Drosophila melanogaster: one gene and its partner. The protein of the gene in region 2 interacts with the protein of the main gene of each other region in a pairwise test. Each region holds a gene or a part of one and is shown on either strand. Other genes may lie near its edges.

What was found. The genes of interacting proteins can lie anywhere in the genome.
Region 1: the proteins of CG7384 (region 2) and Peritrophin-15a interact in a two-hybrid assay, tested with the Drosophila melanogaster proteins (one large-scale study listed by BioGRID).

What each region holds. Positions count from the first base shown.
Region 1 is NT_033779.5:8,392,953-8,397,764, forward strand, and holds Peritrophin-15a (Peritrophin-15a), read right to left. Parts: upstream 3,145-4,812; 5' UTR 3,111-3,144; coding exon 3,101-3,110; intron 3,030-3,100; coding exon 2,761-3,029; 3' UTR 2,713-2,760; downstream 1-2,712. Other genes in the region: Acp29AB (accessory gland protein 29AB), read right to left, coding at 1-259; lectin-29Ca, read right to left, coding at 608-1,318; Peritrophin-15b, read right to left, coding at 1,581-1,852, 1,920-1,929; CG13385 (uncharacterized protein), read left to right, coding at 3,788-4,812.
Region 2 is NT_033779.5:10,507,359-10,516,291, forward strand, and holds CG7384 (uncharacterized protein), read right to left. Parts: upstream 3,096-8,933; 5' UTR 2,881-3,095; coding exon 2,348-2,880; intron 2,286-2,347; coding exon 2,142-2,285; intron 1,927-2,141; coding exon 912-1,926; intron 855-911; coding exon 729-854; 3' UTR 511-728; downstream 1-510. Other genes in the region: CG6094 (uncharacterized protein), read left to right, coding at 61-510; Fatp1 (fatty acid transport protein 1), read right to left, coding at 4,309-5,250, 5,310-5,511, 5,577-6,206.

The DNA of each region.
Region 1 (4,812 bases), 2.1 Mb from region 2:
TTTCCATCTGGGCCTTAAACTCCAGCAAGCTACTTGCTATGCGCATTTCCATTGTATCAATAATTGCCAATGTTTCGTTTTGTTTAAGCGCGTTGTATGTAAACCAATAATTCTGGTTAATACCAATCTGATCGATTGTATTTTGCGGCGTTTGTGGACTTGGCAATGTAGCCTTTCCGTTCGGAATGTCCTGCTGCCCACCACTGAGATCCCAAAGGTTCCATAATGCCAACAGGTATAAGAGGTTAGATGCGTACATGTCCAGTTTGGAAGATTTCAAGCGTGTGAGATCCAATCTGGCTAAAGAACTTCCAATGAGCTCAACTAATTTTGTCACGCTTTTTAATGATAATGTAACCGTTTTAAAGCATCACTGTGAAAAGCAAAAAGGCTGGAAAAATTAAAAAAAATGAAAATCTACTATGGTGTATTGAAAAAAAAAAATATAAAATGCCTAAAGTTAATAGCTTTATTATTAAAGACACATTGCAATTTTGATGATTTAAAAAAAATACATATTAAAGTTTAAAGGAGTTCAATTTTTAAACCTTTATTATCAAAGTCACATTTAAAGTTTAAAATAGTTCTAAAAATCAATGCTCGATATTCAGGCCCATTGCTCGGCTTGGCAAGCAAAATAGTTATCATTGGCACAATTTTCAAAGTACATTTCATTGGAATTGATATACACGCAATGGTTATGTATATTTGTGGCCAGATTTGGCTTCCATTTCAGAAATGGTACATCCCTTCCGGATAGTGTAGAAATCCAGGACGCTCCATCGTTGGCACGGCTGTTGATATCTACCCAGTACTTTTTTTTGGTTTCCTCTGAGAATATTTCATTCAGCTCCTTCTCATCGAGGATATTCGCCAGGTGACCGCCCATTTGACGACACGTGTCGTATGCGCTATCCCAGGGCATCTTCTTTTGCTTTTCTAAGTAAAAGTGCCGGGAGCCAATCTTCTTGAATACGGACATTTTGATTTTGTTGGACATTTTAACGTTTTCCATGTAGGGTTCAATTTGTTGCTTTAGAGCCCGAAGTTTAGTTTCCATCTGGTTTTGAAAGGACTGCAATCGCATTTCTAAGCGTTGCTCCATATTACCAATTCTCCACAAAGTTCCATTTTGTCTTAGCGAATTGTAGGTAAACCAGTGCTGCTGGTGCATATCAATATTCTCGATTGTATAATACGGCATTGGTGCTTTTGGCAATTCATTTGTTCCTGTGGAAGTATCCTGCTTTTTGGCACTGACGCCCCAAAAGTTCCATAAAGCGAAAATGGAGAAAATGCAAGTTGCGTACTTGTACATTTCGAGGGCTAATAGTCTGTGAGATCAATTATTTAATTCCTCCTCGGACTAACCCTTTTTTTTACACTTCCCAACGAGATAATCACCCGGAACATTAACCTTTTCAAGCATTAAATACTCTGTTAAAAATTCGATAAAGATCCGAGAAATCTAGAGATATATTCTAGACTTCATTCAAGCCCATCTTCCCAGTTAAATACCATTACAAATGAACCAAAAAAAGTTAATGAAAAACGTATAAACTGCAAGAGAAGTTTATTGCTTAAGTGGATGCTTCGGAACATGGAGGATACCACTGCCAAACGCTCCAATCGACGCAGCTTCCAGTTTTCGGATCGAATCCAGTGTTCTGCTCGCAGGCAACTAGCTCGGCCTGTCCGGTGCTAGAGCACTGCCAGTAGTGGGTTGGATCCCAGAAGTCACGGGAAATCTCTCCGGAGCGTCCCACGCAATCGGGCTCACCATTGCCATCGGGATTGCAGTCAAGGTCGGCGTAGATGGCAACGCAGAGGGTCAGGAAGAGAAGGACTAAAGCTGAAACAGAATTCCGCTATTGGCATCTCAATGGTTTCAGCGATGTGAGGTCATCAATGAAACTCACCTGCTTTCATTGTGGTTTGTTCGAGTGATTAATACCGAATGCGATTGGAACGCAACGTTCGACATTTTATAGCCACCTGCTATCTATTCCCTGACATATTGTCTGAGACAATCGGAGCTATACATTCTATTTCTTAAAGAACATGAAATCGTTTAAAAATAATCTCATGATCACGATTGGTATCTGTATCTCGACAATTCGAACATTTGACGCCGTCGTACAATTCGTTTTCAAACAAAGAAGTATATTTCACCAAGTGTTGTAGTATACTTAGTTATGATATTAAAATATTATTGAACAAAAAATTTGCATATGATTTGTTTGAATTGACCGGCTCCTATTTAGACAATTTATACCCTGTAAAACTTTACACACTGAGACACAGTGTTTTTGAAATAAACAAACAAATTTTGAAACCAAGCTCTAGTTAAAAAATAAAGTTGTTTGTAAAATTAAAGTATATTGTTTATACTTTATATGATAAAGTATAATTTACTTTTCTCTCGTTCATAAACATTTTATTGCATTAAATGCAAATTAGTAGCAATACGAGTACTGTCTAATCTTTATAGGTTTCCAAGATATCATTTGGACAAAAACATCTCAAAAATGTTATTTACAAATAATAATGAAACTCGTTAACACTCAACTGTACTCAACATCCTATAGAAAGCGACTGAGCAGAAACAAAATATTCTATATACCAATCTAGGTTGCTCTATAACATTTTCCCATATCTTCGAATACTCGCAAGAACATGAGATATTTTAAAAATCCAAACAATGTATGTAATCATTTAGTTTGCCATATATTTTCATTTTTGTTGTTATTAAAAATGCAATCAACAGTAAGCAGTCCAAGACCATTCGCTCCATGAAACGCACTCCTTCTTTGTGGGGTCGAATCCAGTGGACAACGGGCACAACACAGCCGTGGCCGTGGAGGTGGAGGACTCACACCACCAGTAGCGAGTGGGATCCCAGAAGTTGCGGATGTTCGTTTGCACGTTGGATGCGTCGCTGCAGTCGGGCTGGTTGTCAGAATTGGGATCGCACGCATTTCCGGTGCTTAGGAGCGCCACGAAGAAGGCAAGGCAGATCAAAAGTAGTGCTATGGGATCGGCAAAGGGTTGAAGTATATTTCAAATGGGGATTCCTTTTCGATTTGCTCAGCTAACTTACCGGACTTCATGGTGCAATTGAGTTCCCACTGGTTTCGTAAGTGTGCTTTAACTGGGCGAATTCGCAAGCTTATATACCCCAGACCGGCACTGATATTGGCTTTCATCAATAGCAGTTATCTCCGTTGGCGGGAAGCCTGTGCGAAATTCTATTTTGGCAGCGACATGAAATCGTTTCAAAATAATCGCACCTTGTATCGCCCACCGTATCTGTATCTGTATCTCAGCGCATTGTACGCGCCCCTAAGTTTTGTTGACGCAATAGTTTGATTATATGGATGTGTCGTAAAGGTCATGCCGCGTGCCACAATCCAAACTGGGTAGCACTCCTATCAATAAGTTAAATATAGTACAAAACTAGGACAGTAAGGTTTATAATCGAAATTTAAATTTGGGGGCTTCTATTCAAATACCTAATACTTAACCGTGGGGAACCCCACATTCTTAACGCAAACAAGTCATTAGAATTACGCATTTATATTTATATTAATATACTACCCTTAACTGTTGGTGATAGCACTACCGCACTACTAACCTGGTTTTTAATCAACCCATCCGCTATACCGTATACCATACATATCGAAATATAAAACTCCAAAATATAACATTAAATCGCAGTAGGTGTCACACAACTAATTATTTGCGATATTAATGATTACAAATTGCTCGTGATAAATCTCCCATAGCGATGGAGTCGAGGGTCACCAGCGGCACAGGTCCACCGAACACCATTATGATCCAGCTGGTGTCCCAACAGCCCAGTTCCTGTGGACAGATGCAGGCCATGCCCATTTCGGTGCAGACGATACCCTTGTTCCCCAATTCCAGAACATCGACAGAGCGACCTTGTCGATCGGTCTCCATTGCCCCGAATGTAAGACCTCCAACGGATGTCCCTCCTCCTCGAAGGAATTTAAGAATCCGACCCGAGGAATATGCGACACCCAAGCGGAAGAATTCGCAAAGCCAGTTTCGTCATTTCTCCCGCAGCATAAACCAACCTCCACCGGTGTACTATGTTCTTCGACCAGAAGACCGTATTATGCCCATCTACATACCACCTCCGAGGTTTAACAATGAGCAAGGATCAAGGATGGCGACGGAGTGTCCTTGCTGTGGCCATGCCAAGTCATTGAACCCGGAGGAACCTCTAAGAGTCCACGTAGCGCAGAAAGAGTTTGTCAAATTAGAGAAGGCAACTCCTGGACATCGGGATCAATGTACTAACACCATTGACCAGCCAGATGTGGGAAATATAAGGACGATTTACGAAACATTGGGACGCGCAATGGTCACTGCAGCCGTGGAGGCAGCCCAGAGATCCCAGCCAGCAGGACCCTCAGATCCGACAAATGTAATATTGAAACTATTAACCCAATTGGGGGAGCAGAATCAAACAACAGGCTTGAGTCCACATTCAGAAGCAGTAGCAGAAAGTCCCGACCACCAACCACATATGCGCAGGCCCAAAGCTAGCTTTACGGAAGCAGTCCGCATGATGGAGAGGACCTCGTCTGATCCTTCCATTGCTAAAGGGCCACCAGATGAGCTAGATGACCAACGTAGGCTTCCATCTGTACTCTCCGATGGTCGTCTTCGCGTCGAATATCCGAAAACGCCTAGACCAACACCAACATACTCCGTCGAATCTGAAAACACCCTCAGTAATCATATGTCCTCGGAGAGATTAAGACTCGATTCTGGTTCCTCGCC
Region 2 (8,933 bases):
AGTGGATGCAGTGCCTTCAGGGATCCCATCTATTGATATATGTATACATCCCCCACCCAGCCCAGTGGCAGCGACAAGTTCAGCGGCTTCATTCCCATGGACCGACTGGAGATCACCTACAGCAGGAGCTCCGGACCCGGTGGTCAGCACGTGAACACGGTGAATACCAAGGTGGATGTACGCTTCAAGGTGGCACAAGCGGACTGGATACCCGAGCAGACGCGCCAGAAGCTGCTCAAGGTGCTGGCAAACCGGATTACCAAAGACGGCTACTTTTACATCAAGAGTGATCTTACGCGCTCCCAGCAAATGAACCTGGCCGATGCGCTGGAGAAGCTGCGCACCATCATACGCTCCCAGGAGGCTGTGGCACCTGCGCCACCCAGCGAGGAGACACTGGAGAAGCTGCGCAGGCGCCAGGAGCGAGCGGTCCGCGAACGTCTACAACTGAAACGTGGTCGCGCCCAAGTCAAAGCGGATCGGCAGGGACCGAGCGGATTAGACTTGTAGTTTTTTATTGGAAATTGTTATACAAAGATGCACATTACACATATACGCTTAACTATGCTATGGACGCCATTGCAGGTTAGCACTATCACAGATTCTGTACGGACATACCCCCTGCTGGAGTATAACAACTAATTAACTTTACAAAATTGACACTTACATTATTTAAATATTATACAAAGATCTGTGAGAGTGGAAACCCAAATGGACTTGACAACATTCTAGGTCTGCTCGTCCACTCGAGCTGGTGTTACCGTAAATCTCTTGGAGCTCGCGACTTGGATGGCCGCATCCCTAGCTGGCTCGTCCTTTCCCACTTGCGATGGCATGCTCGCGAATCGTGGACGCTGGAATACACGAAATGAGCACTCGGGATAGACAAGACAGCTTTGTGTGCTACTTACTGGCTGTGGAGGACTCAGCTGAACGGAGACCTCGTGGCTCCGTTGCGATGGTCTGCTTACTACGCTGTGGCGTTGGCGTCGTTCTACTGCTGGTGGATTAAACCCTATTCTCGACGCATACAATTGTTCCAGGCGATGGATGGTGGAGATGCCGGCGCCAGGCGGTTGTGGCATTGAGAAACTATGTCGGTTGCTGAGCGGCGACCAAGTGTGCTGGTAGTTTGATTCGTCCAGATGGCGCAGGAACTGACGATTGATGGAGCCCAGTGCGTGCTTGTCTTCGGTGGCCAGATTGGCTATTAGCTCGTTGAGTATCTCCGACTCCGTTTCCACTTTGCCATTACGCGCCAGCTTTATGTCGTGCTTCCAGAACTGTCGGTTTTTGCGCCCAATCACCGGGGCAATCTCCTTTACCTTCAGCACCAGGATGCCCATGAGATAGACGCACAGAACGTTGGACAAAGTTAGGCACATGCTGATGCCGCCGAGCACGGCCAATTCAGTGGCCTGGTTGTCCGAGTAGCGGCGCGATTTAATCACATCCACGTAGAGCGAATCGTCGTTCTCGAATATCTTGTAAATGCAGGCCACCGCCCACAGCAGACCGGAGTTAACCGCAGGCGGTAGCAGCGATGCCGATATGGCCACGCCAACCAGAGAACCAATATTCCCGCCCAGGATTCCGATGGCAGCCGCCGCTCCCGACGGTATGGCCGTGAATACCCCAACGACGAGGGAGTGCAGATCGCAGCGGGATAGCATCTCCTCCGTCAGTCCCTCACCAATGCCATACTTGCGATCCGTGGTGCACACAACCAGACCGAATAGGAAACCCACCAGTGTGGCGGTCAGTATACCAATCAGTTCGTTCAGCATGCCCAGCCTGCGGAGCGATCGATCCTGGATCACAGTTCCAAAGATGGCCGCTATTATGGGACCCATCAGTGGGGAAATGAGCATGCTGGAGGCCAGGAAAATCGTGCTATTCTCCACCAGGCCAAAGCTCGCCAGAACTCTGTAAGGGAATAGGTGTTATCACAGGTGTTATCCTACAACTTGAAGATATAGAATATTGGATTTCGAAAATTTCTAGATCATTTCCAGAAACAAGATTGTATTACAAGCTTAGTTCCATTTAATTAGGTAATGAAAATCTTGGAAAATCGTTTTTTACTAGGCACTTTTCCAAATTCCAATTCTATAATATTTATATTAAAAGTGACTTCTTACGCCGCCGAAACTAGGAGTATGCAAAAGTCGAAGGTAATAGCCGCATCCTGGCGCACATCCCTTACGATCTGTGCCACATTCAATCGGGATCGCACCGAGTTCATGAACCGATCCCAGATACCCTGCTTCTGGGCATTGATGTGTCTGTAGATGATGGATCCTGTGAACTGAAGTAGCTTGAACTTTTCCATTTTCATTTGACTTACTCTGTGCTCGATGGTTGGTCCTCCTGCTCCTCCGTATCCTCACGCTGAACGTAGGATCTGTGGGCCAGGCAGCTGACCACGGATACTGTAGATCCCTCACGATCACCGATGCCGAATTCCTGCAGCGCCTCATAGAGATTCTCGTAGCGTTCGTCAAAGTCCATGGAGAAGCTGATGTGGTAAGCATTACCCTCTAGACTGGGCAGCCAAACGGCATTGGGTATGTGAAATCTGTGCAGGATCTGGCGCACCACCTGCTCCTGGTCCGTGTCCAGTGGGATATCAAGCAGCTGATCGTGGCACGTCTGAATTTCAATCTTTGGCAAGGTATTTAGGACTTTGTGGCTCTGCCGTTCCGGGGATTCCCCGATCCGAATGGTCGATAAGCTTTCAATGGTTGAGGTTCTGCTGGCGGTACCCATGGGCGTGGCGACCTCTCCATTGACCACCTGGACGTACACCTTCTTCAGGCGCTCCTCCTCCGCCTTCGTGGGTATCGTAATGCTGAGTCGCACTGCCGCTGTTCCCGTCATCGTTGCGTTTTGGTCTTGACTTTCTGGACTCGAGGTAAACACCTCACACACTTTGTATGAAATCGATCGAGCGATCGACAATCATCCGTACTCACACGTGGACAACTGGGCGGATCGCACCCGGCAATGCAACTGCAATAATCTTCTTTGCACTGGAAGCGAATTGAAGCCTCGCTTGTTATTGCCGCCACTGATAACGGTTCTCGACTAGCTGCTGCTTCCTACCGATCTGCCAGTCACCCGGAAGACTCACCCACTTGGTCATATTTAGGATCTGCGAGGGAAAGAGCTTTTTCTTTCGCCCGCCCTCCAACTGATTTGAATTTTCCATTGCAAAGTTTAATATCAAATGGAATAGCTCTGAACTATTAGGAACTATCATCCTAATATCCAGATATAGTAAGCATGTTCCAAAGAAATTGAGATATTCTTTAAGTTCTCTTAAAAGTGGATGTGTAAGTACTTTATTTGGTTTTTCTTTGAAAGAAAGACTCATTGTGTTACATTATTCTTCTAAAATATCAAAAAGATTTGAAACGTTTTCTGATTGAATGATGCTACCAATACTAGCACTGGCTTAAACAAGCTAACTGCTAGAATATAATTACCCCTTAATTGCTGTCCATTAAATGGGTATCTCTAATAGTGCGATAATGAAAGAGTAAGCAAGCAGTGAGTAGTTATATTCTCAACTTTTCAAAAATCACAGAAAGCGGAGTAGAACCATAATTAAATTAAGGGCGCATCTTCTATTAAACGTTATTGTCGTTAGCTGATTCACAGATTATTATATAATGCTATTAAAAATTCTCGTTAATTTCATGCACTTGAACGTCGACAAGGTTCAAGTTTGGTTAATTGAATACTCACAGCATGGGTATGAGTGTAAGTATATCTCTATGCATTTCTATAGATCGGAGAGTCGAGGAGCGAATCGCACATAATCATTTGTATGCAGGTGGAATGGTGTCATTCTGCCGCACGATAGACTGCGAATTTAAATACGTGGTCCGTGGTGAAGGAATAAACTTTATTTGATACAAAAACATCAGAGCTTCTCATATGTACAGGCAAAAACGAAACGCAACGAGAATGGAAGTGTAAATGCCACTAAAACTGACTAAACAATAGCTGAAATTGCATTTAACAAGGTTCTTTAGCACGCTAAAAACAATTGAAATGCGTATAGGAGGCTATCATCTACACAAATGCAGATACAACTACGTTTACGATATACGATATATATATGCTTACGATATACAAAAGTGCATTGTTGACATGGAAATGTGCTTCGGATGCATCTCTCCTAGGCTGAATGATCTTTGCTGCCGATTTCCCCCGATTTTCCTCTACTACACTTAGCCTTACAAACTAATTAACAGCATATTGGGCAAAAGGCAAGGTTCAGACACAACTCTATTGCAGCTCTTAGAAGCGGATTTCGTTGCGCTGCACCTGGTCGTAAACCTGGGGCGTGAGCAGCTCGTACCGACCCTTGGAAGTCTGGTAGTACAGCGCGTCCTTGATCGCGTTCGGATCGTAGCCCTCCTTCTGCAGGTCTACCTTGCGCAGCTTAAAGGTTCCAGTCAGGTCCACCTTGGTGAGCAATCGAATGATCTGGGGACGAGCGTACGCGGGCAGCACCTTGGCCAAGCTAGCGGCGAAGACGTCGAGGTCCAATTCTCGCTCCGGATCATAGATGGCGGCCATGCCGGCCCTTCCCTCGGTGTGCGGAATGGTTACGCCGTAAACGACGGTATCCTTGTAACCGGCCACATTGCTGACTTGCGCCTCCACCTCGCTGGTGGAAACATTCTCGCCCTTCCAGCGGAAGGTGTCACCGGTGCGATCCTTGAAGTACAGATAACCCTTCTCGTCGGCAACCAGCAGATCTCCGGAGATGAAAGCCATATCGCCATGCTTGAACACATCCTTAACAATCTTCTTCGCGGAGGCCTTTTCATCGACGTATCCGAGGAATTCGCGAGAAGGATTTCCTTTGACGATCTTGCCGATGAATACGCCTGGCTCGTTGGGAGCGCACAGTTGGCATAGGCCATTCCTATCTCTAATGGGCTCTCCGGTGTCCGGATCGGCGCGAATGATCGAGATTGGGTAGATCTTGGGCAGGATGCGCGACACAAAGCCGATGGCGCCCACCGTGTTGTCATGATTCATGATGTTCGCATTACCCTCGGTGGCGCCGTAGAACTCGCCAACCTTGGCAATGTTGAAGCGCTGCACAAACTGTGGCCAAATCTGCGGTCGCAGTCCGTTTCCAAAGACCAGACGCACTCGGTGTTTCTGGTCGTATTCCGAGGGTTTCGTAGCTAGAATGTAGCGAGCCATCTCACCGATATACTGACCAATCTGGAAATCACAAAAGCCAAATTAGAGAGTGATTTAGTTAGGCCATAAATCTCACTTACAGTTGCATTATACTTGGCGCAGTCGGCGAAATAGTTGGATGCCGAGAACTTCTTGCGAATGGAGACCGTGGAGCCAAAGAGCACCGACTGACCCATGCACATAATGCCACCAGCGGTGTGGTACAAAGGCAAGGGCGTGTAGAAGATGTCCTCCTCCTGGAAACCCATGGTGTAGTGGATGCCAGCAGCGATAAACAGATAACTAAAGTACAAATTTGTTTAGAACCTTTCCATTTAAACTTAGTTCAGAAAAGCTATTGCACTCACCGGGAGTGAGAGATAACCGCAGCCTTTGGCAATCCTGTGGTGCCGGAGGTGTAGATGTAGACCAGCTTGTCGTGGTGGTTAACCTGCGTCTTGTTAGGCTTCTCATAGCTGGCCGTGGTCAGCAGCGCGTTCAGATTCTTGGCCTGCGGTATGTTCTTTTCCGTCTCGCTGTTGTTGTTCTCGTTGTTGAACTGGAAGAGTGTGAGGTTCGCTGGCAGATCCTTGGCCACGTCGGTGACAGCTTCCAGGAAGTCCTCGCCGTAAATGAGAGCCGAGCAATGGGCCACCGTGATGCTGTGCAGCAGGGAGGGACCGCGCAGATTCGTGTTGATCAGCGGTGTGATCACACCGATCTTGGAGAGACCCAGCCAGGTGGCCACGTACTCGGCGCGGTTCTCCAGCAACAGGGCCACCACATCGCCCTTTTTGTAGCCCTGAGCCTGCAGCACATTGGCCACCTTGTTCGCATGCTCGTTCACCTGACGGAAGGTCCAGCGTTGCGTCTCACTGACCACAGCCACCTTGTCCGGATGGGCCTGAACATTTCGTTCGAAGACGTCCGCCACCGTGTAGTTGAGCCGCTCATGGCGCTTCGTGTACCTCAGCAGCTTGATATAGGCCCAGAGAGCTCTGTTAAGGGGAAATTTGATTAGTAAATTAAATATCAAACCTGATAAATCGAGGAATCTTCAAACGAACAATGCTAAATTAGTTAGTGCTATATAAAAGTGTGTTGACTAGACAATATTTTTGAAGATAGCGTATCTTCTTTGCAATGGAAAATCCACAAATAACGTGTATAACCAACGGATATTGATATGTTACTCAGTTTTGGAGGGAAAGTGTTTGATTAGCGGCTAGTCGAGGATAGTAGCCGTACCGGCATTATCTTTGCCATCAATCGCGTGTGTTTTATGGTTAGTGGTTGGGGTCTGTATAAATAGCCAACAGAAATCGAAGCTCGACAAGCGCAACAGCCGTGATGCGATAAACCCAGAGATAAACCCGCTCGAAGTGGTTGCAATTCAATCCGAACGTGGTAACCTAGTCCGACCATGCGAGCCACAACTTAATGACGCTGCTAATTTCGAGCTGAGTAATGCAAAGTTCACGGGAAGGTTGAGATAAAATCGTATTTGTTTAGCCAGTTTCAAGGGCTTTTGAATTTTCCGGGAGAAAGCTTAACCAATAGCTACAGATATCTAAATCTGACGTTTATATTTTCATTTGCAATCGTATAATCATTGGAACAGAACTCTTACACATCTTAGTATCTTATCACTTATGAGGATTAAGAGTTTTATACTTAAACTGTAACTGTTGTTTGGCCCATGTTTATCAATATTGAAGAAGCTATCGGCAAAATAAATAAACCTGCACACTGAACGAAGGCAGATAATGTTTATCATTGACTAGCGGTTGAAATAAATTGCACTTGTATTGACAAATGTGAGTTTAGAAATTTGATTTTTTTGTAATCATGTGTATTTCTTATAAAGATAGATGCCTTCAAGTTGTTACACGGTATTAATTTGTATAAACTATAAAGAGCTGCCTCTGTAATACTAATAGTTTCCTCTACAAGTTCTAGAAGAGCTGATGCTACGGTCTGAAAGGCATTTGCAAGCACTTAAGATCCACAGAGATTTGATACGATAGGAAAGAGTGTGAGGTAGAACTAATCCAAATCGCAAATACAATAGTTCGATGGGAACTGTATTAGAAAAGGGGGAAAAAAAACCTACACTCGACTTGGGACTCGACCACAACGACGATCTCAATTTGAATTCGCTTTGCACCCGTGCGTACTTTGCACCGTCAACGGGGCAGTGAAGTGTCGATAAGATTGCCGGTAACAGCTAGTTAACTTAGCTTAGCGCTTAACGCACATTAGCCGCGTATTTATAGGGTTTTTAATCAGGCCTTATGACCCCCATCGAGTGCTTTGTTTGCTTGGCTCCTTTTGGAGTTGCTGCACATGTTTGCCCGCAGATTGGATTCGTCTACTTGGTGGCCGAGCAAAAAACTTCGATACGTGGCCAAGGTTGACCGGCCAGACTTGAAGTTGATCTTAAGAATCTGTTGTGAGCGCGAAATATACGAATGGCCATATAGACGAGCTGGGTAAATGGGAAACCAGTGTTGGCCTTGGCATGGAACTTGATCTGCCGAGTTTGACTCATTAAGCGAAAACTGCCGAGCAAATTAAATGCTGCTGAGAATACTTGCTATTTTAATAGCTATAACTTTACGTATTTAACCTTATTTATGGTCAAACATAATTTTGTAAAATGCGTTGCAATGTGTGAATATTTGCGAAGGCTATAGCTCAATTCAAACTTAATTGAATCTTAAAATACTTAGTTAAAATGAAGTGTAAAGATTTTGCTCCTATTAGTTAAGGTGTTTGGTTAGATGGTTTTGGTTGTAAAAATGTATATTACTAACAATACCTGTGCTAAAAAGCAATATCTATAGCCGTCTTCAAAATACATACACAAGTCAAAAGGCGACACTTCCGCTTTTTTAATTATCGTAACGACAGACGACACAAAGTATATTGATGAGACATACATAATTTTGACAAGCTTTTCGTTCGCTTATTGCTTGGTCTACAATTGGTATAGTTTGGCTTGCCGTGGCAACCCTGGAATCTTAACACTTCCACTGTAGCCATAAAAAAGTGAATCACTTAAAAATTAAAAATCTATGTGGTTTATAATATTATTGTAATTTCTTTAAATTTATACTATTTATGAGGTTAGCAAACTTACTTTGATATCCAAGTCCTAGACATTCTTAACTATAACAATTTTAAAAGTAAAGAGCTGCTTAAAAATTCTGAATACTTAATAACCTTTCTGCAAAATTTCAAAATGTAAGTAGCCCTGGCAACCCTGGAAAAACGAAAATTCCAAGACGCAGGCGACACTTCCGCCATCATAATGACCCAAGCTTTGGCTCTTTGGCGTACGTTTTCAAGAACAGATCGGTTAGTGTGCCAGTGGTCTTCCGCCTGACGCACTCGATCGCATTCGGATCGATTAGTATGCGCGGAGGGTTTCGCTGGGCGACGATCGTATGAAGTCAATGGTAAATAAAAGCGAGTTTTGTTTTGGTTTCTCGTAGGTTTTTTTTTTTTTTTGGGCTGTGCGACCTTGAACCTGAAGAAGTCAATAAACTGCTCGTAATCGAGTGGCAAAAACTAATAATTTGCGTTGACTATTCGTCACAATGTCGCATGGATCATTTCGCCAGTTAAGTTTTCTCTTTTATGGTTTTCCCAACTGGAAATGAATGCTGCTGTTGGCGACCCAAATAGATGGAAAACGAGTTTTTTCCACTGTGGTTTCTGAC